Drosophila melanogaster: one gene and its partner. The protein of the gene in region 2 interacts with the protein of the main gene of each other region in a biochemical or structural test. Each region holds a gene or a part of one and is shown on either strand. Other genes may lie near its edges. The genes, in order: Ubi-p63E and CYLD.

Region 1 (6,073 bases), on a different chromosome or scaffold from region 2:
GTAGTTGGGGCAAGAAACCAAGCTGCAGTTCGAAGAGCGCGAATTAATAAACTTGAGCTGTGGGTTTTTTTAGTGACCACTTACTCGAACAGCTTGGTGAGGGGATTTCCATCGGCCACCGGAATCTTGCGCACTTTTGTTCCCGGCGGACGCAGGTTGCGCAGGGCAATGTGCACCGAAAAGTTTCCTAGTTCGCAGAGCTGAAAGTGAAAAGTGTGCGGCTTAGTTTGTGGGTCTGCAAATATGATTAATGGATCCCAAATATATAGCACATATAACATTACAAATTGCTTGACCAATTTTAACAAAAAGCTACACCTTTGGTATTAAGAAACAAATGTTTCGAACAAAAGCAAAGGAAACCGGTAGATTACGAAAACATATAACCCAGATCCATAAACCATGGCCGCGGATACATACAGCGAATGCCCCAAGAGCTCCCCAAACGGTGCACATGCAGGGCGAGGTGAACTGCGGATGGTTCACGTGGTAGGACACATAGGCGGTGAATCCCCAGTAGTATGTGCAGTTCTTGAAGAGATTCCTCAGCGGCATGGTGGCGTGCGAGAAGCGGTGCACGAAAATCGTCTCCAGCAGACGCTTCACATAGTGGACCGTATAGCAGCCGGCGGCAATGCTGGGGCAAAAGAGAAAAGAAAGCGGGTTACTGGGTGAACCACCATCCAAAGTTCGGGGATAATTATGCAGAGCCGTTGCGTTTTAGTTTGCATAAGCGACGAGGTCGATTAGGTCGACAATCGAAAGACTTCAGAGACTACTTTCTACAAACTCACTGGGTGGTTAGGGAAATCGGCAGACTGGCAGCTTTGCCGTACACCAACTCCGGTCGGAAGTAGAAAATCAAGTATACAATCAGTGGGCCGGCGTACTCGGCCAGGAAAACGGTCTTCCAGCCAATCTGGGGACCCAGATCCTTCACATAGATCTTGTCGCCGGAACGCAGCGACAGGGATTCCAATGTGTCCGTATCCTTTAGGCTTTTGCCCTTCAGTTCCAGACGAAGCGACTGGCGATTCGCGTGTGGGGTCTGCTTCAGGGTCTTGTGAATTAGGGCGCGCAGATCGCCGATGGGCGTGGCGCCGGAGGGCACCTTCACCTTGCCGTACGGCTTGCTGTTCTTCGCGTTCAAAATCTCCAGCTCCATTTTGCTTTCGGTGCGCTTGCAATCAGTACTGTCCAAAATCGAAAATCGCCGAACCGTAGTGTGACCGTGCGGGGCTCTGCGAAAATAAACTTTTTTAGGTATATGGCCACACACGGGGAAAGCACAGTGGATTATATGTATTAATATATTATCCAGGTTTTCATTACTTATCCAGATGTAAGCCCACTTAAAGCGATTTAACAATTATTTGCCGAAAGAGTATAAACAAATTTTACTTAAAAATGGATTAAGAAAAGCTTGTGTAAGATTATGCGCAGCGTTGCCAGATAGCTCCATTTAAAACACTTCAAAAACAATAAGTTTTGAAAATATATACATAAATAGCAGTCGTTGCCGCAACGCTCAACACATCACACTTTTAAAACACCCTTTACCTACACAGAATTACTTTTTAAATTTCCAGTCAAGCTGCGAGTTTCAAAATTATAGCCGGTAGAGAAGACAGTGCTATTTCAAAAGCAAACTAACAAGGGTCTTAAATTCCAAAACACCAATCCTAACAAGCCTTGGACTTTTGTAAGTTTAGATCAAAGGTGGCATTGCATTCAATGTCATGGTAAGAAGTAGGTCGTCTAGGTAGAAATCCTCATTCAGCCGGTCAAGTCAGTACGAGAAAGGTCTCAATTTGAAATTGTCTTAAAAATATTTTATTGTTTTGTACTGTGGTGAGTTTAAACGAAAAACACAAAAAAAAAGTGATACATAGAAATCATAAAAAATTTTAATACAAGGTATTCGTACGTATCAAAAACATTTCGGCACAATTTTTTTTCTCTGTACTAAAGTGTTACGAACACTACGGTATTTTTTAGTGATTTTCAACGGACACCGAAGGTATATAAACAGCGTTCGCGAACGGTCGCCTTCAAAACCAATTGACATTTGCAGCAGCAAGTACAAGCAGAAAGTAAAGCGCAATCAGCGAAAAATTTATACTTAATTGTTGGTGATTAAAGTACAATTAAAAGAACATTCTCGAAAGTCACAAGAAACGTAAGTTTTTAACTCGCTGTTACCAATTAGTAATAAGAGCAACAAGACGTTGAGTAATTTCAAGAAAAACTGCATTTCAAGGTCTTTGTTCGGCCATTTTTTTTTATTCAACGCTCTACGTAATTACAAAATAAGAAATTGGCAGCCACGCATCTCGTTTTCCCAATGAATTGGCATCAAAACGCAAACAAATCTATAAATAAAACTTACGTGTTGATTTTCGCCAAGATTTATTGGCAAATTGTGAAATTCGCAGTGACGTATTTGAAAATTCGAGAAATCACATACGCACTCGAGCATTTGTGTGCATGTTATTAGTTAGTTGTTTAGTTAATTGAAGTATTTTACCAACGAAATCCACTTATTTTTAGCTGAAATAGAGTAGGTTGCTTAAACAAAGCCACGTCTGAAAATTTCTTATTGCTTGTAGTTGTGACGTCACCATATACACACAAAATAATGTGTATGCATGCATTTCAGCTGTGTATACATACATGCACACACTCGCAACACGAAAACGATGACGAAGCAACGGAACAAAGGTTTCTCAACTACCCTTTGTTCCCTGTTTCTTCGCTTTCCTTTGTTCCAATATTCGTAGAGGGTTAATAGGGGTTTCTCAACAAAGTTGGCGTCGATAAATAAGTTTCCCATTTTTATTCCCCAGCCAGAAAGTTAGTTTCAATAGTTTTGTAATTTCAACGAAACTCGTCTGATTTCGTACTAATTTTCCACATCTCTATTTTCTTCCCGCAGAATAATCCAAAATGCAGATCTTTGTGAAGACTTTGACCGGAAAGACCATCACCCTCGAGGTAGAGCCCTCGGACACCATTGAGAATGTTAAGGCTAAGATCCAAGACAAGGAAGGAATTCCCCCAGATCAGCAGCGTCTGATCTTCGCCGGCAAGCAACTGGAAGACGGACGCACCCTGTCCGATTACAACATTCAGAAGGAGTCCACCCTTCACTTGGTCCTTCGTCTCCGTGGTGGTATGCAGATCTTCGTGAAGACTTTGACCGGAAAGACCATCACCCTCGAGGTAGAGCCATCGGACACCATTGAGAATGTGAAGGCCAAGATTCAGGATAAGGAGGGAATCCCCCCAGATCAGCAGCGTCTGATCTTCGCTGGCAAGCAGCTTGAGGATGGACGCACCCTGTCCGATTACAACATCCAGAAGGAGTCCACCCTTCACTTGGTCCTTCGTCTCCGTGGTGGTATGCAGATCTTCGTGAAGACTTTGACCGGAAAGACCATCACCCTCGAGGTAGAGCCATCGGACACAATTGAGAATGTTAAGGCTAAGATCCAAGACAAGGAGGGAATTCCCCCAGATCAGCAGCGTCTGATCTTCGCCGGCAAGCAGCTTGAGGATGGACGCACCCTGTCCGATTACAACATCCAGAAGGAGTCCACCCTTCACTTGGTCCTTCGTCTCCGTGGTGGTATGCAGATCTTCGTGAAGACTTTGACCGGAAAGACCATCACCCTCGAGGTAGAGCCTTCGGACACCATTGAGAATGTTAAGGCTAAGATCCAAGACAAGGAGGGAATTCCCCCAGATCAGCAGCGTCTGATCTTCGCTGGCAAGCAGCTTGAGGATGGACGCACCCTGTCCGATTACAACATTCAGAAGGAGTCCACCCTTCACTTGGTCCTTCGTCTTCGTGGTGGTATGCAGATCTTCGTGAAGACTTTGACCGGAAAGACCATCACCCTCGAGGTAGAGCCATCGGACACAATTGAGAATGTTAAGGCTAAGATCCAAGACAAGGAGGGAATTCCCCCAGATCAGCAGCGTCTGATCTTCGCCGGCAAGCAGCTTGAGGATGGACGCACCCTGTCCGATTACAACATCCAGAAGGAGTCCACCCTTCACTTGGTCCTTCGTCTCCGTGGTGGTATGCAGATCTTCGTGAAGACTTTGACCGGAAAGACCATCACCCTCGAGGTAGAGCCATCGGACACCATTGAGAATGTGAAGGCCAAGATTCAGGATAAGGAGGGAATCCCCCCAGATCAGCAGCGTCTGATCTTCGCCGGCAAGCAGCTTGAGGATGGACGCACCCTGTCCGATTACAACATCCAGAAGGAGTCCACCCTTCACTTGGTCCTTCGTCTCCGTGGTGGTATGCAGATCTTCGTGAAGACTTTGACCGGAAAGACCATCACCCTCGAGGTAGAGCCTTCGGACACCATTGAGAATGTTAAGGCTAAGATCCAAGACAAGGAGGGAATTCCCCCAGATCAGCAGCGTCTGATCTTCGCCGGCAAGCAGCTTGAGGATGGACGCACCCTGTCCGATTACAACATCCAGAAGGAGTCCACCCTTCACTTGGTCCTTCGTCTTCGTGGTGGTATGCAGATCTTCGTGAAGACTTTGACCGGAAAGACCATCACCCTCGAGGTAGAGCCATCGGACACAATTGAGAATGTTAAGGCTAAGATCCAAGACAAGGAGGGAATTCCCCCAGATCAGCAGCGTCTGATCTTCGCCGGCAAGCAGCTTGAGGATGGACGCACCCTGTCCGATTACAACATCCAGAAGGAGTCCACCCTTCACTTGGTCCTTCGTCTCCGTGGTGGTATGCAGATCTTCGTGAAGACTTTGACCGGAAAGACCATCACCCTCGAGGTAGAGCCTTCGGACACCATTGAGAATGTTAAGGCTAAGATCCAAGACAAGGAGGGAATTCCCCCAGATCAGCAGCGTCTGATCTTCGCCGGCAAGCAGCTTGAGGATGGACGCACCCTGTCCGATTACAACATCCAGAAGGAGTCCACCCTTCACTTGGTCCTTCGTCTCCGTGGTGGTATGCAGATCTTCGTGAAGACTTTGACCGGAAAGACCATCACCCTCGAGGTAGAGCCCTCGGACACCATTGAGAATGTTAAGGCTAAGATCCAAGACAAGGAGGGAATTCCCCCAGATCAGCAGCGTCTGATCTTCGCCGGCAAGCAGCTTGAGGATGGACGCACCCTGTCCGATTACAACATCCAGAAGGAATCGACCCTTCACTTGGTGCTCCGTCTCCGTGGAGGAATCCAGGCTTAAACTAAATACATTTCCAAATAAACACAATTTAGCACGCACTTCACTCTAAATAAATATGAGGAGATTATGGATGGCCACTTTCCTTTCTGCATTGTCAAAAGGGAAGACATCAGAAAAATTCTAAATTTCAGTAAACGCCATGACATAAATTTTATTAAATCTATTAAATTCCAAAATAAATGAAAAAGCTTTAAATTCGCTTATTAATTGTGTGGTATTTTTTTTAATTTGGTACTGGAAACGTTTGGTATATACTAGCACACTACATTTGGTAAAATGTAACCCTGGTTGGCAAACACGGACGCGTTAGTACCTTTTCATTATTTACCTTTGGCCAAAATAAATACTTTTAATTCTGTGCGGAAAGAAATGGCTAAATTATTGCAACGCGTAGAAATTACGTTACGCAGCTTTTACATTTTTAACTCGACTTTTGGCCAAGTTGAAGGCGAGGTTGGCAAATCAATTTTAAGGCTAAGAAACGCCCCTAATGAGTAATTTTTTTCAGGAACACAAGAAGGTTTTGTTTTACCATCCAAATGACATTGAATTAAATACGAAAATCAAAGATGTGGGACTAAGTGAGGCCATCATAAGGTTCACTGGGTATTTATGGAACTTTTTACATAGAGGGAAGTGGGTAATAATACAGAGTTTGCTGTACTTGCAGAACTTTTACATCTGAAGATGATTGCCAGGCCTTGCATACCCAGAAAACCACACAACTCTTCTACCAACCCGAGCCAGGGTATTGGTTAGTACTGGTCCTGAATGTTCCCAAGGAGGTGCGCTTAAAGGAGGGCGTGGAGGTGGCCGATTATCGGGGTGCCGAGAT
Region 2 (6,357 bases):
TTTTCGCAGATAGTGCGTCGCACGTAAAACTCGTCTTTGATGTCTGGCAAGTAACTGAAAAACTTTTTCACTTGTTTAGTGAATGTGCGCCGTCGAGTGAACAACATCTGGATATCCTCCCTCCAAATCCACCAATCGCAATCGCCGACGTTTTGCGTCGACCAATGGTGGGCACTTCAAGATTTATATGTATGTATGTACTCCCGTGTATACATACATCCATATATATCCGGAATATGAACTGCCTTTCATGGTCTAGTGATCCGTAGTTCTCTAGATGGTTCAGTCCTGTTTCTGGAGTCACCTTGAAAACTTCTCCTAACAAAAAGCACTTCCTAATTGTTACAAACTTTTTGTAAAAAAAATATAAGCTACTTGGTATATTAGTTATAGAAAACCACCTATCTTTATTTTTTCCTGTTATATATGTAAAGCCTACCCATATTAATATCATAAAACATATTTTTCAACAAACCAATAACCATTAATAGGCACAAAATCCATTTCACATGTGATTTTTACAAAAATTTTATTGCATTCATTTAATTTATTGATAAATTTGCTCTAATGGTACATCATTATATCTGTGCTTTGGTACAGACACATATAGGCATCGCAAAAAATACGCTTGGCGTGTTCAGGTAATACTTTATCGTTCGTTGAAGTTTCATTTATAGATCGTGCGCCTTCTTCCGAGAGCCACTGTGTTAATTCTGGAACACACGTAATTTCAGGTATATTGTATCCATTCTGTTCGCCTGAAATAACATTTGCGTAAGTATAAGAAACTTGTTAGGTTAAAACTAAGATTTTGCTTGCCTTTTCGATCAGCCATTGAATCGAAGAAACACCATGGAGCATCTGGTCCGGATCCAGACTTGACAAATGCCACGTAGTGAGATGTTTCTATGCAAACGACTGCAAATAACTCCATGTACAATCGCGGGACAACCATGTGCTCGGCCATGATTTTAAATTCCTTCGGACTATAAATCTTCTTCGACACATGATTCGTTCTGAAAGATAGGTTTTTAATTGGTTTTCATTCATTTATCTATGAAGATAGCTGACCTTTTGATGTGACTGTGAAATGTCTTGAGACATTTTGGACAAAAGGCGGTGCATTCCAGTCCTGATCCAGCCTGCAAGCTGCCAAAGCAATCCCGGCACTCGTATTCAGCTAGTTTGCCACAAAGTGAGCACTGTCGAGGAGCTGCAAGTTGAATTTTGTTAAGATTCGAAATGCAAATTGTTATATTGTTGAACACCTACAATTTTCAATTATGTCTGTGACATCAAGAACCTGCGATGGCAATATCCTTGGATACATCTTGTAGTTCTTTCCGAAACGAGGCATTTGAATGATGAAACAAGAAGGAACCTCCTTTAGTTTTATATCCGATGAGTGAAAGCTTTGCTCAAACAATTGTTGCACACTCGGTAATGTTAACTTCTCATCCTTCTCCACAAAGAGTTGGTAAAAATAAGAATCTTGCCCCGAGCTTAGCTACAAAAAAAAAAAAAAAAAAAAAACATGTAAATTATTTAGTATAAAAATCTATGCAATAATGAGTACAATAAGCACCTTTAGAAACGGTTCAACTCGCATTATTTGTGAGAGCAAACTATTTAGGAACTCTTCAGGATCCTTTTCCTCGCAGGTGAGACCGCTGACCGAACTTAGCTGATCTAGGAGCTCGCGCAGTTTCATCACACGATCGGATCGAACGAAAACGTTTTTTCGCAATGGATTGACGATCTCATCGCGCAGAACCTTTTGAACCTCACTGTAATTTCGAATATCCTGTTGAAAATAAAATAATTTGTTATTGGTGAGCTGGGCAGACAAATCGAATAACTTACTTGTGGGCCCGGACGTCTGTACAGAATTGAATCGAAAACACTGGTGAAAGTGAACATGGAAAATAGAGTTGCATCAAGGTAGCAGGAATTATGGTGTCCTTGTATTCCTTTGAACTTTCCACATATGCTAGCAAGCTCATCGGAATTGTGTATTTCTGGAAAACAAATAGCTGCATGAACTCCTTTCCTTTATTAAATGTTTATTGTTATCTTACGTAATGGTGGTATCGAGCCATATATGGCAGGACAGTCAGCGACGCCAAATTTCTTTGCGTGATTACTAGAAACTCTGTTTGCAGAAATGCTATTATCTACATCAGCAAATCGCCGGTCAGCGGTGCATCTGTTGGCTGGTACAAAAATAGCTCGACCATCATGGCAAGTAAATAAGCTAAAACAAAACACAACACAGAAGATATTTTTCAGTTAAGAGTTTTTCTTGTATGAGTACCTATTTATGTGTTTTAAATGTTTAAAAGTATGACATACCGTACGCCATTGTGTCTCCCATCCGATGCCACTACATTTTTCAAGTTGGATTCGTCTTCTACCTCGATTCCGACGAGTACGTTTTTTTGCGGGCCAGGCGGTATACCTATCCATCTCACAACGCCATATAGATCTTCACATACTCCAGGATTCGAGACTTCGACGAGGGAACCAATCGCTAGCTCGGTTCCAGGTATTTCAATCAGAGGTTGATAATCAGCGATTGTAAAACCTAGGACAAGAATAAAATTAAAATAAATTTTAATTTCTTAGAAAATCAAATTAAAAAAAGCGGAACGATTTCATAATAGATCATACCAAGTTCTTCGGGCAATAAATTTGGTGAATAAAATTCTAGCACTGTTAATGGAATATTATTGTGGATATCCGAGTCAGAAGACAATTTTTGTTGGTATATATTCATTTTTGAAAGACGCACAGCACAATTTTAATTTCTTTACTAATTTTTATGTTTTTTTTTTTTTCAGCAATTGAGAACTTTGATAAAGTGCAGAACAAATAAAACTCCTCGACAAACTGCATATATCAACTCAGAGAACTGCCGTTTTACGTGAACGTAAATAGAATATATGTATGTGTCGTTATGTATTTGGCCGGCGTTCTATAAATAAATAGACGTTTTCATTTCGTTGTCTTTTGCAAGGAAGCAAAGTGAATACAAGTCTTACAACAACTGTAAAGTATCGAGAATAAAAGATTCAATAACAGTGAACGCTATATTCGAAAGAAGCGACTATTACATACCTGTTTACTCAGCTAAAAGAAGTGCGATACACTTGAAAATAGACAACCAGCACAAGGAGTGATGTAGCAGGCAGAATTTGAATGTCTTTTGCAAGCAGTACAGAAGACTGCTTGAGTAATTCCACTAACTAGAACTAGCTTTTACAGTTCCTGAGATCTCGTTATTTATATGGACGGACAAACAGGATTAAGATTAAGAGAGCTAGTAAACCTGACCAAGAATGTAGCAGGTCGGAACAGATTCCTTCCTTAGTTCTTAATAATGATATATTTCTTTTCTTTTTGAAGAAATGACAGTAAAATAAACTTACGTAAAGGTTCCTCCGGCTCTATTTTTAATATGGGTGAGGCTGGTTTTAAAATTAAGTCTACAGAATTACTAGGATCCGTTTTACTTTTGTTGTTTAAGATCATTGCAGCTGGTCCCGCTCGTTTTGGCCAATTTGTGCCCAAAATGTCTGCCAAATCCACATCCTCAAGATGTTGATTATCGACGGCACTATGGTTGGCATCGGTGTTTCTAAAAATCGCTCATTATTAGCTTTAAATGAATTGAAACAGTTTTACTACGTACTTTAAAATTCCGTTTTTTCTGTTAGGAATCTTTTTCGGGTATACATGGGTCTTGTGCTCGCTCTCGTTGGATAGTTCATAGTTTTCCAGGGAGTCCCCGAATCTATTTGTTATGGTCAGCTTTTTTTCTTTTTCTGCTTCATAATCGGATTTGGAATTCATTATTTCCAACTAAAGGCTATAATAACATTTGTATTAGTAATTAAATAAAAAGGATATACAAAATGTATTGGTCATAAGTGTTTTTTTATGAAAAATTTTAAAGAGCATGCTATATATTTGGCAGAGAGTATTCTACAGTCGAGTTAAAACTGTTAAACGAAATAATCAATGATACTCGATGTGACGGATTCTGTTTGTAACTGCTTAGTTTGCAGTCGCTTACATACATATGTACATATGCACGTAAGTATGTAAGAGACATCAGGTTGCTGTAACAGTAGTTCAATAAACATTCCATTGTTTTTACGCTAATTTCAATCTTGCATTAAATATTTATTTGCCAAGGAGGACTGCACAGAACAAGTAACAGGAAATACATGCATAACAAACACAATTCGTTAGCAACTTTTCCCTAATTGATAAAAACAATGACACACAACAATCGCGACTACATTGGTTTAATAATATTGCTGTTCGCTGAAATACCAAATGACCAATTAAGTTTTTAGCGCAACCCTGTTTGAGTTTTAATACAAACACACATAAATTGAACTAACAAATAAAAAGGTGTTTATATCCTGGATTTTTGTTTAGTATTTATAAAATTTGTGTCTTTTAGAATGCGATTGGAATGAATTCTGGATATCGTTATCGATTTTACCGCAATCGACAATTGTTGGGGGTAATCTTGAACCAAAAAAATACAATACAGTCAAAAAAACAAAGTAATAACGGTTTAAAAACGGTTTTATTATATAGAATATGTAACAGTATATTGCGATTTGTTTGTCGTTGCTTGTTAGGCTTAGTATGTTTTATTGCTTATGAATTTTATCATAAACTTTTAACAACAACAAAATAAACAATTTTATATATTCTAATATGCATTATATTTTATATTAAGCAACTTATTTTTTAGCATTTTTTTTATTGTGGGGAAAAAGTCTTTTAAAAGTCTGTCAGGTATATAATAATTCTCTGAATAGGATTATTTACGCTAAACATTTGATTAGATTATCACTTTTGAGCACCTTCTGCTGAAGCGGATTGGATTGGCAGTTCCACATGTATAGGACTTTGAAAGGCCATTGGTTGGAGTTGTACAAACTGAAATGGTATGGAGAATGGCATACCGCGATAGGCATTAGCCGATTCCTGTGGACTTAGGTCTACGTTGGAGCTATTGACAAAGTCTGGAGCAGAGTTGGCGGTCTCCAAATCCTTTCCCGTGATATTGAAAGGAGTAGGGGGACCGACGAGTTTCAGGGAAACCCCATCCCGTCCAGGAGAAGTCGATTCAATGCTAGTTTTGGGTACGTATTCCTGGTTATACTGCGAATCAAAACTACTTTTTGTTACGTAATCGTGCTTAAATTGAGGATCAATACTACTTTTCGTCACGTAATCGTGCTTAAATTGAGGATCAATACTACTTTTCGTCACGTAATCGTGCTTAAATTGAGGATCAATACTACTTTTCGTCACGTACTCGTTTTTAAACTGCTGATCGAGATTAGTTTTCGTTGCGTAATCGTGCTTTAACTGTGTGGGCACGGAGCTTTGATAGTCCTCCATCCTCGGAGGATGATCCAATTCCCTAGATTTGTATATCCTGTTGTAGTAGTTTGAGGATGGTAGGCTGGATGGTTCGTGTTCTCTGGGCGGTGGATGATCCATTTCCATGTTAAATTTGAACTCCTCGCCGCGTGGATAACTTTCGTAGAGTGATGATGACTCGAACTTATATGGCTCGCTGGAACGAATGTAAACGGGAACCTTTCGTTCTACCTCAACCTTATAGGGCACTGGTACCTTCTTCTCGAGATGAACTGGCACCTTTATTTCGACCGGATACGGAACAGTCCGGAGCACTGGATACGGTTTCGGTACGTGGACTATTTTCTCAATTATCTTTTCGACCACATATGGTTTGGGCACTTGGACTGGCTTTGGGATGTGAATCACCTTTTCCACTATCTTTTCGATAGGCACGTGCACTATTTTCTCAACTGTAACATTCACCAGCTTGGGCACATGTACGATCTTCTCGACAATTTTCTCAATGGGCACATGGACGACCTTTTCCACGGGATACGGTTGTGGTACTGTTTTGATCAGCTCCTTTATGTGGTTGTGATGATGGTGGTGATGATGATGCTTGATTTTCACCTTCATCCGCTTCGCATCCTTCTTACTCGAGTGCTCGACATGTTCGTGCAGAATCGCTTGTGTTCCGACCTGTTCGGATGCCTGGTATTGACCATCGTCCTCATCGATATGCTCGTGGATCTCTTCGAATGTATGATAATGCCTACTTTCCGTACTCTCATCCGCATAATTGGGACTCACATTTTTTCTTCGAGCACCAGATGGCTTATATTTCAGTTTATTCCTCGTCATTTTATCGCCTTGCTTTTGATAGTTTTTCACACCGCGTTTCAAAGTCACATTGCGTTCGGTTTCCCGATTATAATGTTGCAGATCCAGCTTTTCCGATCTTCTTCC

The links.
Region 1: of the proteins of CYLD (region 2) and Ubi-p63E, one has a biochemical effect on the other in vitro, tested with the Drosophila melanogaster proteins (2 studies listed by BioGRID).

Annotation. Positions count from the first base shown.
Region 1 is NT_037436.4:3,898,633-3,904,705, reverse strand, and holds Ubi-p63E (Ubiquitin-63E), read left to right. Parts: upstream 1-1,521; 5' UTR 1,522-1,702; intron 1,703-1,785; exon of another isoform or gene 1,786-1,851; intron 1,852-1,998; exon of another isoform or gene 1,999-2,179; intron 2,180-2,655; exon of another isoform or gene 2,656-2,853; intron 2,854-2,935; 5' UTR 2,936-2,946; coding exon 2,947-5,238; 3' UTR 5,239-5,275; downstream 5,276-6,073. Other genes in the region: Sc2, read right to left, coding at 1-22, 85-200, 421-637, 795-1,165; Ccz1 (Caffeine, calcium, zinc sensitivity 1), read left to right, coding at 5,608-5,691, 5,747-5,844, 5,909-6,073.
Region 2 is NT_033779.5:10,295,353-10,301,709, forward strand, and holds CYLD (cylindromatosis), read right to left. Parts: upstream 4,496-6,357; 5' UTR 4,395-4,495; intron 3,869-4,394; 5' UTR 3,853-3,868; coding exon 3,692-3,852; intron 3,638-3,691; coding exon 3,429-3,637; intron 3,062-3,428; exon of another isoform or gene 2,777-3,061; coding exon of another isoform or gene 2,671-2,776; exon of another isoform or gene 2,626-2,670; intron 2,585-2,625; coding exon 2,353-2,584; intron 2,255-2,352; coding exon 2,079-2,254; intron 2,019-2,078; coding exon 1,864-2,018; intron 1,805-1,863; coding exon 1,586-1,804; intron 1,508-1,585; coding exon 1,273-1,507; intron 1,214-1,272; coding exon 1,072-1,213; intron 1,017-1,071; coding exon 820-1,016; intron 759-819; coding exon 565-758; 3' UTR 507-564; downstream 1-506. Other genes in the region: CG13138 (uncharacterized protein), read right to left, coding at 4,870-6,357.